Drosophila melanogaster: one gene and its partner. Changing the gene in region 2 together with the main gene of any one other region gives a genetic interaction. Each region holds a gene or a part of one and is shown on either strand. Other genes may lie near its edges.

Region 1 (3,929 bases), on a different chromosome or scaffold from region 2:
TCTCGCTCGCGCCCCATCTATATCGCTGGCGGTTCCGTCGTTGACCTCCTCGCGTATTACGTATACGCCCGATATGCAGGCGAAGAGAGATCGACGTCGGCGGATGGAGATGGCCAGTGCGTGAGCGGGAGCGAGTGACTGCGGGTGACTAACCCACTGCAGTTTCAATTAGAACAAACGACATCGACAAGTTCAATGTGATCATTTCGCCTTCGCAGTCGCTGTTTTCTGCCTTCTGCCTTCGACGTCGGCGTCTACGCCGTCAGGTTGTTGTCGAGGTTGTTGGCTGCCTGCGACTCCGTTTGCGCCGCCTAGAGGTTAATGCCGGTTGTAATTGCAAAGCACCCAACCCGAAACCGGAGACCCAACAAAGGAGCGGAGCTTAGAGCGACTACAGTGGTCCCTGCCCGCGCGACTCGCCTCTTTCTGGCTAATCTGTGACTCGGTGACATTTGCGATGATCTTGAAACAACCATAAACCGAACGAGACGCAGCAATAAAGGCATTATGGGTACGTAGGTAATGTTGTGTATATGGTACGTGTAGATACATTTATACGTTTATGAATCGGCAAGAGGTCACTGCAGACAGGGAAACCTTAACAAAACAACACTCAAGACAATTCTTGAAAAATGCTAACGTGAGTGCGAGACCAGCAGAATTAAAAAACCAAAATCGCCACGCATGAATCTAAAAAATAAAAAAACCAAAAACAGCTCATAAAAATATCGGCGACAACAACAAGGGGATGCAGCAGTAAAATAAAAACGCTGCAAAAACAATTAAATTCGGACAAAAAAAAAAACTGGCAAACAAGATGCAAGTGGCAACAAGTTTCTCAGACTCAGTCGCTCAGTTTCTCCTCAGGGCCAGCAAATCTTCGCTCTGCAGTCTTCGGTCTTAAGTCTTTGTGCGTGCCAGGAGGTGGGGCGGGGGAGCAGGGAAATGGGAATCTGGGTTATGGCAAACAGGGGAGCCATGTAATAAAATGCGGTAATGGTAATGGTAATGGTAACCAAAATATTAAACAACTCTTCACCAACATCAGCAGAAAATGCAATTCCAAAGGGTGACGCAAGGGAGGGAAGGCAGGGGAAGGCCCTAAAAACAGGCCGACTTTGGATTTGGGTTTGCGTTTGGGATGGGGCTCGAAATGTGGGCTACACTTTCAATTGGAACCCTCTGTGGGGGTATGGTGGGAAGGGGGTACAGGCGGGTCGTGAAATCGGGCAATTCCGAGCCGAAGACGCACGACGATATTCTGCCTAAAAAAAAAAACGCTCCGATCGCCGCCGACTTTGTGTGCGTATGTACCGCTTTCTGTATCTTTGGAGTTACATAGGGGGAAAGTTGCATATTCCCCTACCCGTTCCCATTCCCCTTACCCCTCTCGCTCCATATCACTCTATTTACAATTTGCCGCTGCCGATCTGCGGATCTGCCCCAAACATTCGCGTTTGTAATTGCATCGGTGTGTGGGCGGCGCTCGTTGATTCGTTCGCTCGCCGACGACTTTGCATTTCATTTCCCCCAATTTTGTCGGCCTGACAATGAATAAACAAAACTTCTAAATGGGCAATACCAGAAAACACAACAGAATATACGGACAGCAGAAAAAAAAATAATAAAAAAACCACAACCACACACATGGAACCCCCGAAAAAAACGCAATTTTCGCTTGCTCGGCTTCGCCGCCGTCGCATGCGCAGAAAATTTGCTCGTTTTTTTGGCGACTGCGCTGCAGGCAGCGCTGTAAACTGCAGCGATCGGATCGAGTTGATCGCAGAACGCAGATCGCAGATCGCAGATCGCACTGCTGCCGCTGCCGCCGCCGTCGACGTCGCTGCACTCCAAAAAAGCGAAGGAAACACACAATCGCACACGAGAAGTATATAACAAAAAAGCGAGCAAATAAGGCAAAAAGTAAAAAGTAAAAAGCAAGAAGCGAAAAAAGCGAATGAAACATACAGGCGGCATAAGTATATACACACACACACATATATATCACAAACACTGGTGCACAGCGAATTCTCTGATTCAATTGGGCAGACGCACACACTCGCGCACACACCAATACACACGCACACTGGCAGAGGGCAGCGGCACAAGCCCAACACATTTAACTGCATTTTTTCGGAACTCAGTTGAGCTTTTTAATTCGATCGGTTCAGTTACTAAAGTTAGTTCAGCCTAAACGCACAATTTCAATTTCCATTTCTAAGTTTGAGCCCGAATTGAATAGCATTAGTGCCCACCCCACGCCTACCCTCGCACCACCGCACCAACGCACCACAGCAGTATCCAACACACACACGAGGACTGGACAATTCCCTCTGTTCTATTTTTTTGTGTTTTTTGTCAAGTGCACCCAAGCAAAGACCAAAGGACGCAAACCATCTAGTGCGCGATTCGCGCGCGTTTTGAATCAAAAGAATCTAAGAATCCAAGAATAGCTAAATCACTGAATCGCAGAATCAGGAGCGGAAAAAGCGAAAGCCAACCCCAAAAACCCAAAGCCCCAAAAGTTCAAGTGAATAATCAGTGTGCATCCCCAAGTAGTCGACCCAATGAAGCGCCGCCATGAGCAAGGATGCACCTACTGAGCGCAACTACAACCGCACCATCCAGGTAAGGGTTTCCTACATCCCATCCGACCCCATCCGCTTTGCTTTGTAGGGCAAACCGAACGTGCTGGAAGCTCCTTGATCTAGGGGCAGAGGGAGCCTAGCATCCAGATCTATATCGACATACACACACACACACATCCATATTCTCACACACGGTTGCAGGTACAGATACACACTGAAATTTGATTCGGATTCGTGGCCCGATCCATAAGAAGGACATTTGAGTCATCCGATGCAGCTGCCTGCTCTCTCCCTCTCTGCCTTTGGGCTCGGCTCTCCTCATTAGCACTTTGATGAAGAGTCACAAAAGCGGACGGACCGGGCCTAGACCCCTCCCTTCGAACTGTCCAAAAATTTCGGTGCATCTGCATACAAAGGCACACAAAGACGCACAGAGTGTACGGATACAGATACAGATACAGATGCAGCTACATATACATATACAGATACAGACACATATACTGTTACAGATACAGATGCACTGCAGGAAGCAGGGCAGCACAGTAGCCTCAGTCGCCTCTTTCAGCCCCGTTTCAGCTTCTCCACCCCTGGACTCTGCGCTGCATTGTTCCACTTCTACACTTCCACACTTCCCCACTTCCCCACTTCCCCACTTGTCCGCTACCCGCCACTCCTCGCTTTTTCGGCTGCAGTCTGTCAGTCAGACTGAGGCTTCGTGAAGCTCACGGCCAAGGCGAAGGCAGCTGAGGATCTGCACTCGGCCGAACACGAAGGCCGGTTGGGCAGGGTTCGGGAACGATCGAAAGCCAGCCCGAAACGGCGGAACTGCAGTTTGCTGTTCAGCGTCGCACTGAGCAAACGTCGTGTGGCAGCTCATCGCCAATTGCGAATTGCAAACTGCAAACTGAGTACCGTAAATCGCTCGCGCAAAGTGCAAGTCGCGCTGAATTCGCAAGTTCACATAATATCGGCATCCGCATATCCGCATATCTGTATATCTGCACATCCGCAAGCAGCTTGCTTCCACGCCAATTTTGTTTTCGTTGCGTTTATATTTTTTTTTCTGTTGATGTTTCTCGTTATATACATAGTATCCTTTTAGCAACCCACTCAGGCTTTTGCTGATTCTATTTCGATCGCAATCGGTCTCAGGAATCAATCTCAGGATTAGCTCTACGGCAGGTAAGTCACGTGAGGAGCGGTGGTGTTTCTGAAACTTTTGCTTTCAATGGGTTTGCTTCTGGAACTGGGCCAACAGCGAGACTCAAATGGCCAGACAGGCACGCAGTCAAGCGGTTTGGTGACAGGGTCCCCACTACTCCTGCTGCTTCTCCTGCTCCA
Region 2 (3,929 bases):
TGCCCATTGACACCCCCTTTGCCTTTCCTGGCCAACACGAAACCCACTTGACCAACATTTGTCATGGCTCGAACCGAGTGCAGCCGGCGGCTAATTGACTCGAATTTCGCCGCGTGAAATTTTAATTCTTTATTACGGCTCATCGCTGTCATTTGTTGTGTGGTTCTGCCTTAAACATGCATTTATTTTTAAAAACTCTGTTTACATTCCTGTGCCTGATCCGCCGAAGAGAAGTGGCATTGGAGAAAAAAGCGCCAATCGAATAAAGCCAAAGCCAAAAAAAAAAAACGTTGAATTTTAATGAAAACGCAATCGAGGCAAATTTTTTGTTCGCTTAAAAAACACACAGATATACATATATATATATATATAAATCTGCATGTGTATGGGCCATAAGTCGATTAAGGTGACACATTGAGTTATGTTTGCGTTGATTCAGCACAAAATTCCCATGACATCTTATAACTTTCGGCAATGACATATATATAATCGAAAAATGGGCCTACACCAAAGAGGTTTATGAGTATTAAGATCATCCTTATCAAGAAATGACGTTATCATTAGGAACAAAGTTAATATTTCAGGAAACAAAATGCGTATATGTATAACTCATTTTTTATATCTAACTAACTATGGCCAACTAACAAGCCATCCTTATGAACTGGCACCTCGCAATTCCTACTTTTCTGCCTAGTTTACAAGTTACAGATATTTTCCATCTGTATCCGACCTTATAAGATCTACCTTTCCACACAAAATTTACAAATTATCGCATGGAAAATTCGGAATTTAATCATACAGAATACAGAATTTTCTATTCTTAGAGTACGATATATACACACGTTGGTTCAAATGGGTCTAATGCATATAGATTCTTTAGCCAAATGCCTTGGGCGATACTCTAGCAGCTTTCCTGCTCTCTATTTCACTGTTTAGTATCTGTAGCACACACGGATTGTATCTAAAAATAGGACAGCCGAGGCATCTGTTGAATATCTAGCCTCTCCACGGATATTACTTAATACTAAGCTGAGAGGAAGGGAGCTTTCTGGGAAATTCTTGGCGCATTTCGCCTACGTTCGCTTCAGATTCATTTGGCAGCTAGGGCCAGCGGTCGTGGATCAGATTTCAAAGATACAAAACTGCAAAGTAAATGCGCGTGTTGCCCAGTTACTTGGAAAATAGGCTCAATGAATTCCTAAACATTTTGGATTAAAGAAAATTATAATTCAGGAAACCATTCCATAGCAAGGATAGCTATCTTGAAGTCTATCTCATTGATCTTTATCTTAAGAATGATTCCCTTACTTTCTCATATACAACATGACAATTTTAGTTTCTGAAAGGAGGAAAGAGAGCTCGATAATCCTCCTTTTGCCTTAATTCTTTACTTCTGCCGCTAAAATCTAAGATCGTTCGAAGTTCCCACTGACCATGTTTATATATCTCATGAAATACGTTTAGCTGAAACCCTATATAGCAACTTGCGGTTAGCAGACAAACTTGACAAGGTCCCCAGAATCGTTATTCTTAGTTTTTTTTTCGCGATCTGCAAAGGTGCTTAACCTCTATTTGGGTTTATTTCGATTCTAACTGGGAAAATTTTCAATTTTTTTCAATACTTGCGGATGATTAGGGTTGAGAATTGCACAGCACTTTGGTGGATTTTAAGTTAGATATTGCAGCAACGTTGTGGTTATGTAATTATACTTTTTGGTTCGATCCTTTTTTTTAAATAAGAATCGAATTCTAGCACAGTTAAAATTATTTTTGAAGCACTCGACAAGTATTTTTGTGGAAATATTCAGCGATATCTTTGTATTTTTTTTTGTATAATTTTTTACTGATCAACGATAACGTATTCCTTTTTACTTACAAAACTTTTATTCGGAGTTATCCGCGACTTGAACGGATTGTGATGTTCAACTGAAAATATTTATTCAATATGTTGACGTTCGATGCTCGCCGCTTGGTCGATTTCGAGCGGCTTGCGCTGGTGTGTGTGCGTGTGAGCCGCCGCGCTAGTGCGCCTGTGTGCGTGAGTATCTGTGTGCGAGAGTGCGCACTTTTCGGCCAAAAGCGAGCATATGTTGTTGCTGTCTGCGCCTACTTTGGAACTGCACTTGGCTCTCAATTTACCCCAAGAGCATCGGTAAATTGCTCGGCCGGGGTACAATAGCTTATACACTGCGCGAAATCAACAAAGGGGTGCATTTGTTCTTATTTATATACTCATATTTAATGTAATCATGCATGCTTTCTAATATCAGGACATTTAATATGCACTTTTGATTTAATGTATTTATAAATTTATGTCGCACTTATCATTTATCATCATTTACTCATGCTACTTTTGTTATTACAAATTTGAATTTTGAAATTCATTTATAAATTATATTAAATGTTTTTTTCATTCAGAAAATACTCCAAAGTGAAATGGGCTATGCCAGTTAAGAAAGCTGTACAACATTTCTTTACCCCTCAGCCCGTAATATATTTAATTTATGTTCCTATCCGATTTCTGCCAGTGTAACGGAAAGCATAAGATCAGAATTTCAAATACAGTTACAATTTATACACACACATTCAAGCCCGGCGCCTGCGCTCTCTCTCCGCTTTCTCTCTGCCTCTCTTTTCCGATCCTTTCCTTGGTGCTTTCACCTGTTCGCTGCACATGTATGGGTAATGCTCACTCATTTCGAATCGAATGCCTTTCTTTCAGCCTATTTTTGAATATTTCCCCGTATTTTGAAAAGCTCTTTTCACCCAGTGTTTTTGCCCATTGCAAAATATATCCAATACTTAGGCAATCGTGTCTCTTTTCCCGATGAGAGTGTATTGGTTTGGGGATCGTTTTGTTTTGCTTTTTGATGTTCTCAACTTCTATTTTTAATTTTCAGTTATTGATATGCCAAAAAATCTTGTTTCACGTAGTTATACGTACGTATTTCCCCCATAGGTCTACAGATTATTATTTTCTGCTCTATATATTAAAGCTCTTTCTATAGATTTTTCAACGTCATGTCTGCGAACGGAAAACATTTTGCTGGCAATCATAAATGTCACATATGAAAGTATACGTTTTTTTGTAACTGTCTCGCAAGAAAATGCATCCATGATTCATGCTTTTTTAAATTGCAAACGTGAAAACGGTTGAAATTCAGTTTCCCCATAATCGTTGAGTTTCCGATCTGGTGATATGCATATTTGCCCTTCTAGATTGCTTGCTTACTCGTTGATCACGCCCTTTTAATCTTATCGCCAACAAAATTGTTGGAGATCTTATATGTTCGAATGCAACTAAAGTCTTTAAATATAAACCTATAAATATAAGCCAATTTGATAGCCCCAACATATATACATATATGTATTTACTTATTCCATTTTTTGTTGTTCTCTTATCTTGGAGAACATTTGCCAGTCCGAGGTTGATGAAAATTTTAAAATTAACTCAAACAACACCCACAAAATGACGTAATTGTATTCATTAAAAACAAAAAGTTTTCGAAGCAAGAAAACTAGATCAATATATTTATAAAGACAAAGAAAAAAAAAAACAAAGAAGACATAGACATGGAAAAGACCCTTGAGAAAACGTCGAAAAACATTGTAAAATAGCAAAACAGTCTGAGCAACTTGCTAAATACGAAAACGAAATCATGGCCATCGAATCCGACCCGTTGACATGTGTTAGTTATGGAAAACCAAAGTTTTCATAATTCCAAAATATACGCGAATTAAATAAGTTCATGAGTGTGTAGCACTCAGCTTGGCTCAGACAAGTGCGCAATCTTGTTAGAAAAATCGCGACCATATTTGGCGAAAATAGTATGGAAAAGTTTAATCCGGGCTGAGGGGCATAGACGACTGGGTTTGGTTTACACGGGCAGAAATTGGCTTTATATAAAAAATATATTTTAGTTATTTGT

What was found.
Region 1: of Tm1 (region 2) and br, changing one enhances a phenotype caused by changing the other (phenotypic enhancement), as found in Drosophila melanogaster (one study listed by BioGRID).

Annotation. Positions count from the first base shown.
Region 1 is NC_004354.4:1,610,176-1,614,104, forward strand, and holds the start of br (broad), read left to right. Parts: upstream 1-2,165; 5' UTR 2,166-2,628; intron 2,629-3,481; exon of another isoform or gene 3,482-3,770; intron 3,771-3,929.
Region 2 is NT_033777.3:15,279,551-15,283,479, reverse strand, and holds the start of Tm1 (tropomyosin 1), read right to left. Parts: upstream 1,931-3,929; 5' UTR 1,877-1,930; exon of another isoform or gene 1,623-1,876; intron 1-1,622. UniProt on the Drosophila melanogaster protein: Tropomyosin, in association with the troponin complex, plays a central role in the calcium dependent regulation of muscle contraction.